2 linked regions of the Neodiprion lecontei genome follow. The protein of the gene in region 1 purifies or fractionates together with the protein of each later gene. This does not show direct contact. Links are inferred from orthologs where the notes say so. Each region holds a gene or a part of one and is shown on either strand. Other genes may lie near its edges.

Region 1 (6,991 bases):
TTATAGTTTTAAATAATATAAATTACGTATAACACCTACATATTATTTTATAAATTAGCTATATATTTCTTACTTATGCATGTTAATTTAGAATCTCTAAAGAGGCCACTTTTTGTATGCTCAAAATCTCGTAAACTACTGAAGATAAATTTTTTAACTATTCACAAAGGAATATGAAATAGTACGATAACGATACAATTCTTGTGGCGTAAATAGTTCTCCTTTTGTTTTTATATGCATACGTCAAGGTTACAAACTGGCAACAGTTATTTCGAAAATTTATTTATTCACAATTTCAGTATTCCGTTTAAAACAAATGTAATTCTTTTAATCTGGCATGTAGTAGTTGTCGATTTTCTATTTCACTTACTACTAAATTATTACAGCCACATGTCAATCTCACGACCAGCGTCTGATTGAATCATAATTTCCTCTAAAGATTAATGGCGGGACCCAGCCTACCATGAGGTAGTGGATTGAAAGGGGTTACATTGCGCACTTCTTTTTCAAGAGGTGCAGAGTAGATATCTGTGGTCAATTCACTCATAGGGATTTCTTTGTCTGTCTTAGCAATCTTCACCGCATCATCAACTTCTTTTCTGACCTCAGCTTCAAGTTTCTTTAAACACAGTGAGAGGTTCAGATTAATTTGTATTTAAATAATATCGCTTTGCTTTAGCTATTAGTCAATGATAGATCATGTGTTTGAATGTTTACCTTGAGTTCATCAGCTGCAACTAAGTTCGAGTTGAGAATCCTTTCTTTAAAGCTGGTAATAGGGTCACGAGTCTGACGAACCTCTTGAATTTCTTCCCTAGTACGATAGCTTGTGCCTGGATCTGACATACTGTGACCGCTGTAACGATAAGTAGCTGTTTCGAGGACAATTGGTCCTTTTCCACTGGTGCAGTGATCAATGGCATAACGAGTAGCCTCTCGCACGGCTAAAACGTCCATTCCATCGACCTGTTCAGGTAATACATATTTGTATGAAATTATATTGTCAAGACAAAATTGAATTATCAACTATTCGAAAAGTCTGGTGAATATTAATGAGTGTAAAATAATTCACCAAGTATTATATATAAATTTTTGACTTGTACGATATTGAATTATCTTTGCTTTACCCAGATTCCGGGAACATAGTCTCCTCTTGTGTAATAGTCCGTACTGGCAGCTGCTCGGTCTGCGCTGGTTCCCATACCATAACCATTATTTTCGCAAACAAAGATGCAGGGAATATCCCACAGCTTGGCAATATTGTAAGCCTCGAATATCTGACCTTGATTTGCAGCGCCATCACCATACAAAGCTAAACATACTCCACCGGTGTTTTGATATTTGGCAGCAAAGGCTACGCCTACACCCAGCGGCACCTAGTGAGTAGAATTTTAAGAATTCTCAGTTATCCAAAAATTCATAATGTTATATAGCTACTCATTTCATTAACGTAGCTCAGTCATCTTTGGCTTACCTGGGCACCAACAATACCATTGCCTCCGTAAAAATTCTTGGCATACATGTGCATGGAACCACCTTTACCGCGTGCATTCCCGCTTTGACGCCCTGTAAGTTCAGCTAGTACACCTAACGGGGAAACACCCATAAGATAAGTCCATCCGTGAACACGATACGCTGTTATTACGGAATCCTGAGGACGTAGGACGGCAGTCATCCCAACTGCACATGCTTCCTAGGAACACCAAAATCAAGAGTAAGTTAAAGCTTTTTGTGATACACATTTCATGTGAAATTTTTAAATTCAAGGATGAAATTACTTGGAGATCGAAAATATGGACATTTTTAAATTGTACAAAATTGTGCAAGTTTGGATCGATTATTTATTAACAAATTTTACACAAAGTTAGCTGGGAGTTTGTCATACCTGTCCGGAGTAAAGATGACAAAAACCCCTTATAATTTTTTCTTTGTAAAGGTTGCCAGCCGCTGTTTCAATACGACGGATGGTGTGCAATTGCTTGTAGTACTTGAGAGCATCCTCTTTTGTTACTGACACCTGCGTGGATGGGCCTGAATCTAATTTATGTAAACGGAATGGCTTTGTTTCGAAAGATGCCTCCGTCGCGTAGTTATTCTTGTTTAATAAGAAAGACACAGCCTGCAACAAAAAAAAAAAAAATTCAATTATAGCAAACTGTTTATTATACATACCGTCAGGTATTTCATTTAATATCAATTTTTGTGTTATGCTGAAGAAAAGGAAGGTAGTCAAATGGATCTCCGGGACAATGTTTCGATAACTGTGATTATTACGTAGCACATTATATTTGAAACTGAATAATTTCGTTGTAGACAGAATTTTGCATGTGCAGAGGAAATATTTTTTGCTGCGTAATCAAAGTTGTTGAAATGGCTAAGCTTTAGTTCCTGTGTACAAGTATTATAATTTGCTAAATTTAATGAGATGAGTGATTGAATTATTCAAAGAGCAAAGTGCAATTAAGGTCTTTTGAGCGTGGTGTCACGTGACCAATTTTTGAATTGATTTGGAATTTCTCGTACGTAATATTATGGTGCTATTGTCGGTAAATACTCTGGGGTCAGCTGGCGCTGAATAACTTTTGTACAGATGTTTTATCTATTTATATCACCGCAAAACATGCTTTGAGGTTATAATTCGCAGATTATTCGATTAATTATTAATACGATAATTTATCTGTGCTAACTGACCAGAGCGCATTTCCCAGCATGAACAAGGTCATATCATAAAAATATTCCAAATCGAATCAATGTTTTACGAAAGAACAAGATTGATTTTCGTACAAACTCTTACGATTAAATCGATCACGTGACACCACGCTCAAAAAACCTTACAATTAACATTTTGGAATATTAGCTGAAGCATAGACAACGAAAACTAAATTTGTTACTGGGATATTTACCTTGCTCCAGCTTCCATACTTGCCCATGAATGAGATGTAAAAATGAAGGATTATTCAAGGCATTAATCGAAAAATTACAGGAAAGGCAAAACAGCGAGTGAAAATAATTGAAATTCTATACTTTTCAAATCATAGGAAAAAGTAAGGGATTTTTTCTAAGGTCATTCACATGTTCAGCAACAGTTCGAATTTTTTTCAGAATAACTCACATTTCTTTTCGACGTTTGACTGCCAATGCTCCTAATGCAGTTGGGAATCATTTTAGAGGTAGAATGCCGTGTCAGGTAATTGAAATTTTTTTAAAATTACGTTTAATTATATTTCCCAGCTGGCAAATGAGAGGAACACGGATATTACAAGCTACGCGACAGCGGACATTTAGAGGAGAACGACCGTGCGCCGTGGACCAACGATTGGCAGCCCGATATGTTAGCCGAAATTTTGCACGATTGGTATGACTGGAGTTCGATTCTCGAACCGTGCGAATACATAATAATCTCCCAAGCAATTGAAAATCGCTGTACGAACTGGTACGAATCGCGTCCGCGTCGCTTGAGAAATCTCAAATTTCGTCGAATTTGAGCATTAGTTTTTAGCCTATCGCCAAACGAATAACACCAATTTGTAAATACGGGAGTTGTGATCACACGCTTTTATTTATCAAGTGTTACATTGCGTATAGACGTAATTATTGCTTTATCAATCCATGTGTAGATCGTGTCTTGTTTTTCGACGAGAAAACATGTGATTTTCGTGATTCGAAAAAATCGTTGTACTGGTTTTTATCGTCTTCGAATAAACTCTGAATATCAGTGACTCAGTGCGGTTTGATCTAATTGGAACGGTCTACGATGTGAGTTTGCCGGTGTATGGTTGTAAAAAATAGCTTATTAGTGTCGAAGAAATTATTACAATGTGCATAACAGGAGTGTATAGTGAAACAAATACTGATATGTGTTCAACCGTGGATCCACACAATGGGTACAGTTCAATGCAGCTACGAATTCGACAAAAGGTAAGTCTTGCATGCGATTTGTATTTTTCGTAATGTTTCCCCAGGTTGTATACTGACTACAATTTTAAGCTTAATTATAATCAGCCTGCTAGTGCTAGTTTCTGTCACTACAATAGCGAAAATTATTATCATGGAAAAAAATCTCCGGTACATTTTGTTTATAGTCTAGAATTATCTTTCAAATTATATGTTCCAATTCTGAACGCGCTATTTGCGATTGACCTTGAAACATACTTCGCGGCGTTACAAACAAGCTAGACAATATGATTCTACATACCTATGTACGCCTTCTCGAAACGTAATATACTTCGTGGTAATAATAATAACAACGTGCAAGGCTCACGACGTCGGCGTCACATTGAAATCAGGGTGAAATAAAGTGATAATGACCGACAAGAACGATAAATCGAAAGTTGATTTGGGACTTCTTGAGGAAGACGATGAATTCGAAGAATTTCCTGCCGAAGGTAAGTTTCCTTTATTTTATCTTATCCCGATATTCTTTGCTTCTCTTCACCCTCTAACCTCAAATTTGCTGAATCACGGAAGATTGGACTGCCAAAGATGAAGACAATGCCGATATTAGCGTGTGGGAGGATAACTGGGATGACGATGACGTCGAAGATGATTTTAGCCAACAATTAAGGTAAGACTTTGACTCTTATTTGTCTAACATAAAATGTTAAAGAATTGCCTCGGACTCTTCGTAGTTTTCATGTCTCAAGTCTATCTGTGTTATTTGAAAAGTTTGATGTACTGTCTTTGCTACCTTCATTATTAGTGGTATCAAACTACCCGTTTCTTAACTCGCTTCAACCAAGAAAACGACCATAATTAATTTACCATATCGTTATTGCAGAGCTCAATTGGAAAAGCAGAAAGTACAGGGTGACCCTTCGGGAAAGGAAAATTGAGTTCAAAACGAAGTGTGGATGTATGTTAATTGTTAAGTAATAAACTGCTATATGTATTTCATACGTATCATTTTAATTTCTTAAGAGATAAGTTCCAATTACAGCACATGTAACGAATGCAAAAAGTTCTACTCAGTTTCTTTCATGTACGAATATTTGTTTAAAAATTTTCACAGTCACTGAGATAAAATCTAATAAATATCATTGTTTGATAGACAATTTTTTTTTATACATACTTTTCATTCAATTGAAAAATCTGTACAATTAATAACAAAACTTCACTGGGATTTGGCTAAACATCCTTAGCTAGTACACCAGTGTAAATACAAATAGAATCTATTTTTGTCACATTTTACCCGTTTTTTTTTTCCATTTTAGAAGCAAATATCAATACATGCAGGTGTGGGTATTAGATTTAAAATAATTGCAGCAGAGAATGTTTACTTTGTCTTGAAAATAAATTTAGGACAACTTTTTAGTTCACTTTCAGTACGCTGATACACCTTGATTGGTTGATCTGGACGTAGCTAATAATTGTGAAGCTAAAACGTCCAATAATTGTAAACACAAATCTCGATTAATTTTCTTATTATCCAAAGACCTCATGAGAAATTTAAATGCTTCGCTTGTTTCATTGTCCCCTAAGAATATCTTTATGTGAGGTGGGATTGCTGACATTAATTGTTGTAGTAATTCATCCTGCAGTATATCTAATCCTTTAGTATTTTCGTTACCAGAGCTGGCAAATATGTCCAGATTATCCAAGTGTTTAAAAGATTTGAGAATCGAATTCTGGAACAAAAGTAGACGGATTTTACAGTCAAATCTGATGCCACTTAGCGTAAATGTTAATTAACAATCTGATTTGTCAATAACATTACTTTTAACGTGGTCTCAGCAATATTTCCAAAGAACAATTTGACAGTTCTAACAACAGCTTCTTGTTCTATAACGTTGTCACATCCGGATCCACCCAAAACTTCAGAAGCCAAGTCGACAACTAGTTGCGTTAAAGTTATCTTACTGTCCAGCTCATCAAGTTCTTCTGCAAAAATTAAAATATTATTATTGAAGTTATAGCTGCATTCAATTTAGAACTTCTCAAAGTAGTTACTGCTAATTGATGGAAATTAGATCTGTTCATCGCGTACAATGTTGGAGGTAGGATTACTGACCGTCGTATGGTGTGTTAAAAATTTCCCACCAATGAGCCAGCAGCTCTGAGTCACCGCTACCTTCGACCGATTCGACTGCTTCGTAAGCCGTGTCCACAGAACAGTAGTCCATTCTTTCCGCGACCAATTGCTGCAATTCTCGAGCTAAATTCTGCTGATTTTATAATAAAAGTTATTGGCAGTAGTGGAAATATATTATTGGATAGAACTTTGGAAGACACTTGAAACTCACAGATTTTAAGTCCTCAACAAACCGCCACGGAACATCAGCCAGTGACATTAATGTCGGCATCGGCATCACTTCTATTTCTGTATCCATTTCAAAACCAGGCACAACAGTTTTCAAAGTATTGAATACTCCGCTTACGGTTTTAGCCAAAAATCTATCTAGGCGTGGTGCCACTGTGTCCGCTTTTTTATTACTGCTGCTGCTTGGCCTCAAAAAGTGACGTAATTGTGGTGGATAATCGGCAGCTAAACGAGAGCAAACTAGTTTTAAATAATTTTCCATCTCCACACGTCCGCCTTCTGGTAAAGTTATGTTTGATATTGCAACCGCCAATGATGGAACCTGAAGTTAGATATTTGAATGCTTTTTACGTCTGTGTTTCAGCGATTATTAAGCATGGTTGTATGTCAGTTGATAATTACTTCTGCTAGACTAGCGTGAAGTTGTACAAAATCTGAGTACTGCCTCTTAACGGTGGCTGTAGTAGTTTCAAATAAGTGTGATCCATGCTGTTCTATGTCGTCAAACTGTATGCAGTACAGGAGCTGCTGAGAGCCATCGGGTGCCGTATGAAACTCTGTCCAAGGAATAGTTAAGTGGCTGCCTTCGTAAACTGTGCAAGACTTTTCCTCCAATTGTCTGCAATTAAATTTAGTAGAAGCTTCGGGATTATTTTTTTATTAGCTTCCAAATTAAGATTTTGCATGAACCTGGAGAAGCGGCCAGGTCTGAATTAAACTGGTTGAAAAAAATAC
Region 2 (8,539 bases), about 37 Mb from region 1:
CAGACCCGTTTCTACAGAATTTCTTCCTACAGAAAGAAATTCGAGATTCACATCAGAAATAATACTCCATGAATTGTTGTATAGGAGAATTGTTCTACAGAATAGTTTTCTACGGAAGATTTTTCTATAGAACAGTTTTCTAATTTCACACATCCGACACAATACCCGTTCGACACAACACACATGCAACACGCATATAAATTCAAACCACATAATTTCAATTAAATTAGATCAAATTGAATTAAATTACAATGTTTTTAACAATTCGACGATTGCTCTGATTTTGTGTTGCGTTGAACAGAATCTCTAGCAAAAAATTGTGGAAAAATATATTGTAGAACAATTTTTCTGTAAAATTATACTCTGTAAAAGAATTTACTGTAGAAACAAGTTAGTAGAACATATTCTGAAGAGCACTTGCTCTGTAGAACTGATTTCCGTAATATCGAACCGCGTTCGTTTGAGTATGTCATATTTACAACTACACACAACTGTGACGTAAACTTGAAACTCTATATTAAACAGTATACGAGAGTCACCTAACACAAATAGAGCTATCCTATTTTCTGTGCTATCGCTTGTCGTGGGACTGACGGCAAAACCAAACCAATATTATAAGTGAATGCGCAGATATGTTATTGGTCTGGCTTTTCTTTTCATGCAATATTTTTTGTCATTCAAACTATCTTCGTACATACAGGTACATCAATCGTGGCATATATCGTAAAGAACTTGTTCATGGTATATCCACTGTTAGTACGAATTGTTCGTTCACCCAATTTCACAAGGAATAAGTTTATCACATTGAAAACAAGAATGGCAATTGTGCCTCTTGTCGTGGAGTTTAGATATTTAGCTAAGCTCAAAACCTGCACCTGCTTGTATAGCGTATAGAAGCTTTTCCCTTAGTGTTCTTTCGTCAGGAAATTCCGGAAGTTTTAAAAGGTTCATGCAGGTGCTCGAAGTCGGAAGCCGATCGACGCTACCTGCGTGTTGAATGCAGAAAGGTGGATCAAGTTCCTGAAAACAACGAAATGACCATCATTATGCGGTTGGAACAGATTTGAGGAGCTCTATGTAGAAACACCAGGGTTTGTACGAGGGACAAGGTAAACCGCAAAAAATCTTATCCGGGTGTAGTTAACCCGAGTTCAAACCTCAGGTAGCCGGTTCAGCGCCTGAACGGTGGGACCCGTGGTAAAATTACTGCGAGTCGCCGCTCAGGTCTTCCTCGACAGGCTAATGATTTGAACTCAGACCCTCCCATTTCACAGTCATGCACGCTACGCCACTACAGTCACTTTATTTAGTATCAGTATCGTTTAGTTTCTTTCTCGTTTCATCATACCTTGAATCCAAGCAGCGGTGGTCGACTGCAACTTGTCACAAATTTGAGCAGTTGACTTCTCTGTTGGTCCGTGAATTCGTCAGCAATTTTCCAAAAGGAAATTATTGTAGGGTGATCGGGGGTATAGCCTCCGGTATAGTTTGTATGTAGTTTCAAGTCGCGTACATCGACAGGTATTTGTGCACCGGAGATTAAGACCTGTAGTTCTTTATTATTGAACATTTGAAGCCAGTCGAGGGATACGACATTACTTATGCCCTGCTTGAATGCATAGCACTGGGCTCTTATCTGTTTGTTTAATTTGTAGTCAGCCATTAAATGGATGTATTCTATCCGATTGTGCGAAGTTACTGTGACGTTCGCTCCTCCAGGCTTGAGCTCGTCAATGCGCCTCTCCCCAAGTTCGTCAGATAAAACTGTAAAGTCTAACCCCAGTTCGGTAACATCGCCTTGGTAACTTTTCAGATACAAGAGATTCCTGTACATTATTGGATCGAGGGAAGCCAAGTGATGAACGTCAACATCGGCTTGCCTGCCGACAATTTTTGATAAAAAAAATTCGGCAAACGGCAATTCAACTAACAAATTCTCGTACAGTGCCTTTCCCAATATACGACCAATGAAGTAGTAGTGTTTTGGAAAATCATCAACAAGAAGGTGCACCGTTGGATTCGGATACAACATGTTGTCTTTGGTCAGCCTGAAAAATCCGCGATTTGGATCAAAGCTGGTTTTTAACAATTCTGAAAGAAACTCTCGGAATAGTCCACCCCCATCTACACCAGCCTCTTCAAGACCAGCTGCGTTCACCAATTGAACCTTCATTTTCAGCCTCAACTCAGACTCGTTCTCTGGTGAAAGTTTGTCAAACGCATCCTCGTACAAGTAATTCCGTCTCACAGCAATCTGTATGTATGGACCCCGCATGAAATTCGTCCATTCGCCTTGCTGTTCCTCTTTGTCGTGATTCAAGAGAGATTGAAATACCACTACACGATCATTGAATGGCACAACAAAGGGTATTTCACGAAGCAGCGTAAGCGTTCGCACTTCCTTTGTCGACCAAGGAGGGCCTTCCTCCAAATCTTCACGAGTAAATGCTCGCAGTCCTTGAAATGGTACATAGCCTCTTAATCTGCGACGTCGGAATGTAAAATCCTGTGGTTTGTCCAGTGGTATCACAATGTTCGACGCTATCCAATGGCCTTCAGGGCAAAATTGTTTTCTCAGATCACGAGTGTGAAGTTGCCGCAGCAAACCTACAGTTACTTTGAACAAGTGCACCCACATTTGTGTGTTTTGGTGAGTTTGGGTAGCAGAGGCACCAAGTACTGCAGTTTTATAATCATCTCGTACTGTCGGCCGGGTATCGGGGAACGCGAGCTCGACCAAGCCCAAGCAAACCCCCTTCAAATGAGCAGAAAGTGGCACTAGTTCCACAGTCGTGAATGGCATTGTCTGTTGGCTAGCACCACTTGTTCCAACTTGGGAGCCATCATTGAAGAATTCAGTGTCGTGCAGCGTTGCAATAAGCAGGCTGAAGAGCGAGCAAAAAACTGCCAAAAGTGGTACAATCTTTTTTGTATTATCTGCATCTAGGGCGATACCTCGAGAAACTACTTGCAGTAGAAGAGTGACACCCCCAAACAGGGATGTCTGACGAACAGACATTAGTGCCGTCCATAAATGACGAAGAAACGACGGTTTGAACGCAAGCATGTAGAGTAGTTTATATTTAGGAACAGCCATTTTGTTGGTTATCAAAAGATTGTGGCACAATTGACATAGGGCTTGGAGCATAAGGGGATCCTCGCTTTGATCCACCACCACAAGAATACCTTGTACACGATTTTCTGCATTCAACATTTCTATGCATTTTTGACGTATGTCCGCTTCATCCTGATCGACCATATCAGTGTCTGTGTCACTGTCCGATTCGTCGGTGAAATTTAAACTCTGCTCTACAGGTGGGGAGGCTATTGTCGAACTCAGCGATGCCAAAACTTGAAGGTAGTTCGTCAGAGTGTTCCTTGACCTTCTGCAGGCTGTGGGTGCAAAGATGAAGACAGAGACATTAGCAATGCAATATACACCAAGGTATGGACAACATTTCAAACATATAAAATATCAAATGTACATTTGCATTAGTGTTCATAATTGTCACTGTCAATCTGAATATTATAATTATTGTAATTCTCCAAACTGTTTATCACTTACCAAATCTGACTGGTTCCAGAGATAATATGCTATACAAAAGGCACAGAGTAGGCTCATTTGCAAGTCTATTTATACAATCGATTAATTGTTTATACGGGAGATTTTGAAATTCTGTCAATGCAGGTAAGACAAGCATCTTAATTGGCTCTGACATTCTTGGCGCAAGAATGCTGTAGCAGAACTCTTCAAGTATCGTAATGGAAAATTTGTTATTCTCTTCCATGGTATGAATAAGTCCAAGCGGTCGTTTAATCATATCCAATAGACATGCCGCCATCGGTGTCGGTGGTACAGGCGTTGCTTCCAACAAAGGAGGCACTTTTTCATCTATCAACCTTCTCAATTGCACAAAGTACTTGTTTTCTGCCAAATATACAAATATGCCGATCAAATGGCGATCTGTTTCTGTCTTTAAAATGCCCTCTGTATTTTCTTTCACAGTGAACACTTCCAGGACTCGCAGAGGAACTGCTATAGAACGAGCAGGATCTTGAGAAACCGTGTCAACTATTTTCCGCATTGATAATTTGAGAATCCACCTTAAAAATGGACAAAAAGCTGATGGTATTATTTCAAACTCTATAAAACAAAAGTGCTTAGCACTCAAAAAAAAGACCAATTTAACAGCAGACAGGGCAAACAAAGCAGAAACTTTAAATCACTTTATGGAAACGACATATCTCACATGCATTTTTCACGTATTGGTGCTAAAGAAGGTGACTACAAAAATTACAAAAATTAAAGTATTCTCTTCCCTCTGATTTTTTTCGATTCTTTATTCACCTCAATATGCTGACTAAAACATCACAAGGATGCAATATTGATTTTATAAAAACTCAGATCGCTAAAGTCGTTACACCCTCCTGGCAAATTGGTCTTCGTAGTTGCATTCAAATTGAGAAATTGCTTGTAGCCATAAAGGGACAATAGTATTTAGAAAAAAATTTCAACCCCAATGACCCTCAATCAGCTTCAAAACGAAAACGCTTGCCGGTTACGCCCTACTCAACTGGTTTTCTGCTTTTGAATTAATTAGAGAAATAGTACACTTTATTTCATAAACATACCGTAATCTCCATGACCACTCTGTAGATATGGTTGTCAGTTCTTTTATACGTTTGTGATCTTTCAAGACGTGTCTAAGTATCCATAGCAATCTGGATCCATCTAGAGCTTCGTCATAGAAAAATAACAATTGTCTGAGCAAAGGGGAAATCTCTTCCAAGCTTGGCGGATTATTACCCAATGCCTTCTGCGCTACATCAAAGTTGTGCCTTTCATGCTCACGCTTTAATTGTCTAGTTACAAATTGACGAATCTGAGCTTGGATTTTCACAGCGGCGTCATGCCTTTGACGCTGTTGTTCTCGTTTTAAACGTTCCAATTGAGCATGCTGCAGTAGCACAGCTTTTTCATCACGACGGCTAGCACCAGCTAGATTTTGTTGGGGTTTTCGTCTGTAGTCTCCGTCAAAGCTATACATGACGTTACTTCAATCAAAAAAAATTACACGTCCGTTCTTTTGTGAGTCACTTGAAATTCAACAATGAAGACTCCCCAATCGGCCTGAATTCACAGATAGAAACATATTGACAATAGTGAATAATGATAAATGAGATTTAGAAGCATTCGATGCATTGGTTCATTATGATTGGTTGGGCATGAATTTTTTTTCAGCAACCAGCAGAATCCTAACTGACTAAATTATATCCTTTGCAGTATTACAGTCGTGGTATTTTGAACTGTTCAAATTTAGTCCAGTTTCACCTTCGCGAAAATATCTATTGTGAAAAATTATCTGTTCACTAAGTATAAAATTACTCGATTACTTTTCTCTGCAAATTCGGCTCTTTATAGCAAGGTTATGCCCGTATTAATTGATTATTGCCACACTGCGTAACCACGCAACGTCAATAAATTATGCTTGTCTTTAACAATTACGAAATCGAAGGAGAATGTTTCACCACCATTACTCACTTTATCACTAAAAATCACTCGAAATAAATTATAATATTACAATAATGTTACGATTACACGTTAGTCATTGAATACACGCCATATTGAATTGATGAATAATATCACTAGCATGGAGTCTAGAGTAAAGGAGTCCGATCTTCGTACACTTGATCCGGGATGAAAAATCCGTACAATAAGGCTTGCGCTAGCTGACGCTGAAGGCGCTGATATCGCAAAGATCCGACGAGTGTTGGGCTTATAGCGTTTTCCACTGGTTGCACCAGAGATGAGTAGGGAGATCTCCAACGCTCGGCTTTTCGTGATACCAGCTAGGTTGGAGCGTCGACGTGACACCTAGGCGGCCACGCACCGAAGGTGGCCCATTTCCGACCTGACACCTAGGCGGCCATGCACCGAAGGTGGCCCACAATCGTGCATATATAGATATACTCGGTCGCTCGAGCAAGCGGTTGCCAATCGCATCCTTGTCCCCGCTCGCACAAATCTTTCCAGGAATGCAAGAATTGGGATTTTTTTGTTTCAATTTTGAATGTCAGCGAATAAAAGTATCTCCAGATTTGATAAATTTTGGATTCAATTAGCGGACGCTGAACCAAAATAATTAACCATTCCCAGCCCGAATACGTTTTTTTTTTTTTTTTTTTTAATAAATATTATTTTTTTATTGATATGAAAATATGTGACGCCTGGTGTTCTCGAATATTTGTACGCGCTGTCTATGGAAAAATATACGAAGCCAGCTCGATAACATTTATGCAAAATGTGCAATGGGCAAGTGGTTGGAGGAAATTTTTTTTTTCTCGAACTGAATCTTCCAGAGAACCATCAGCGAATTCCAAGCAAGCTCCATAAACATACCGAGCAAACGCGCGATCACGGACGTAGCTGTGGTGTGGCTGAGTGGATACCACATGAGGATGAATTTTCAATCACAGGTTTTTGCGCGAAGTTTTCCTGTATTTAAGTTAATTACTACTGCCTTTGCTATAATACTGCATTCAAGTCTTAAACAAAACACTAAAAAATAAGTTAACCACTTAATGTAAAACAAAATGTTAGATCGAGCTTAAAATTTAAGCCGGAGTTACATAAACTAAGATAATTACAAGTGCAATATTGTAAATATTGAGCATTTATTGTTCATCTAAATAAATATGGTTTCCTCCTCAAAAAAAAAAAAAAAACATGAGGATGGAGTGATGCGGGACACGGGTTCGATCGCAGTTCACTCTTTTTTTTTTTTTATTTTTAAATTCAATCCCGGCTTTTTTTTTTGTATTTTCGGAGAGAAAAAACAAATCAAAGAAAGAAAATTTCGAGAGCCGGTCGATTTTTTCCTTCTTTCCTTTTGCTTTTTTTTTTACTGAACCCACCTTTTTTGTAGTGGGGGTAACCCGGAAGAGAACAAATAATTGAAACAATAAAATTCCGAGAGCGAATCGATTTGTTCCGCGTTTTTGGCGCCTCTTTTTTGATATGGAAAAGTTTTGACAGTAATGGAAAATAGAGATTACTAAACGCAAATGTATTGTTTTTTAATAACACCGGCCCACAGAAAAAAAGTGGCCTGTACTTTTGACCGGACCTACCTATCTTTATGTATTTTGACGCGCTGAATCCGAATCTGAAGTCAGTTTTGCCCGTACACCCTCAAAATTTTGAGTAAATTGCAAAAAAAACCATAAAAATCGCCAAAAATTAGCATTTTTGGTAAGAAAAAAATTTATGGAACTATAGACCAAGTATGATTTTTATGCATTTTGGTCCGCTAAACCCAAATCTGAAGTTTATTCAACCATAAGCCTTTTAAAATTTAATTGGGCCGGTGTTATTAAAAAACAATACATTTGTTTTTAGTAATCTCTATTTTCCATTACTGTCAAAACTTTTCCTTATTAAAAAAAAAACGCCCATTTTATATCAGTCTTGACGAGCATTTCTTAAGAAGTTTGAGAGATGCGAGATCGGAACGACAAAATTATTTCAGTAGCAACAATGTATGGACCCCTCTCCTTTTCTGATATTCGCAGCCAGTTAAGAGGCTTCACAGTGTTCAGTTTAGTGCCAGCAGCTCTCGAGGTAGCAAGATGGTAAGTGAATTACATAATTATTTTACATGTATGGAAAAACCGGCAGGTTTGACGATCGTCTATTTACTTTATAGATTAAGAAGAGAAAAAAAGGGAAGGACCTGTAGTCGTATTTTATACTTTATTTAATTTTCCTTGAATTGTCAGACGTTTTTATTTTTGATTGTATAGGAAGAAGATGTGTGGGGAATTCCATTCTAGTGCCCAAGAATATAGTACACATTTTCGATCATTTTTTCTTTTTTTTTTTTGGGAAAACATTTTCCTCAATTTCCAAATTTCCTTAATTTTTTGGTATTCAAATCGATTCTTAACAATTTTGCGCACAGGTGGGATTTCTTTAATTATTTTTTTCCTAATCCTGAGGATATTTCCTATCTGAGACCACCGTCAATAGGCGAGATTCCGGAAATCATAAAATTACCTTTTTTTCTAATTAAAAAGAAAATCACATAAGGCCACTAAGAACTCGAAATGAAAATCTGACAAAATTAGAGATGTTTTTTTATATTCTAAGCCATTAACGTAAATAATCCGTTTAACGACCATCCTAATAGATATACATTGTATATGGGGCATTCCGCGTCAAATTTGCAACCCATGTACCTCACCCTCTTCGATTTTGATAATTCTTTAGTATGATGTTACAACCACGGTTTCAATCGACTTGAAACAGTGTCGGAATTTTTTGCAGATTTCTTTAGCCACCACTGAAAGAGAAAAAAAAATGAAAAACCAATTCCGGAAACGCTTCTTTTAAAATTCTGAAAAAATTCACACTGATTTTATAATTAAAAATATGATTTGTAAGCATGACAGGACAACGTGATCTCAACATCTACTACTTTTCTAGCAAGTTTTTGGTTTTCTTGGATCTTTGGATAACTTAAAAAAAAAGAATGAAATG

The links.
Region 2: the proteins of 26S proteasome complex subunit SEM1 (region 1) and ubiquitin-protein ligase E3C purify together in Homo sapiens (affinity purification with western blotting; 3 studies listed by BioGRID and IntAct, with this or other methods). This does not show direct contact. The link is inferred for Neodiprion lecontei from reciprocal best matches to the Homo sapiens genes SEM1 and UBE3C.

What each region holds. Positions count from the first base shown.
Region 1 is NC_060260.1:4,675,193-4,682,183, reverse strand, and holds 26S proteasome complex subunit SEM1, read left to right. Parts: upstream 1-4,224; 5' UTR 4,225-4,303; coding exon 4,304-4,385; intron 4,386-4,467; coding exon 4,468-4,564; intron 4,565-4,777; coding exon 4,778-4,832; 3' UTR 4,833-4,893; downstream 4,894-6,991. Other genes in the region: probable pyruvate dehydrogenase E1 component subunit alpha, mitochondrial, read right to left, coding at 434-619, 718-966, 1,128-1,376, 1,475-1,693, 1,886-2,119, 2,904-2,921, 3,113-3,163; uncharacterized protein LOC107226332, read right to left, coding at 5,319-5,624, 5,714-5,877, 6,008-6,161, 6,240-6,578, 6,659-6,875. UniProt on the Homo sapiens protein: Component of the 26S proteasome, a multiprotein complex involved in the ATP-dependent degradation of ubiquitinated proteins.
Region 2 is NC_060260.1:41,303,962-41,312,500, reverse strand, and holds the start of ubiquitin-protein ligase E3C, read right to left. Parts: upstream 5,619-8,539; 5' UTR 5,543-5,618; intron 5,132-5,542; 5' UTR 5,049-5,131; coding exon 4,633-5,048; intron 4,105-4,632; coding exon 3,566-4,104; intron 3,394-3,565; coding exon 1,349-3,393; intron 1,021-1,348; coding exon 853-1,020; 3' UTR 1-852. UniProt on the Homo sapiens protein: E3 ubiquitin-protein ligase that specifically catalyzes 'Lys-29'- and 'Lys-48'-linked polyubiquitin chains.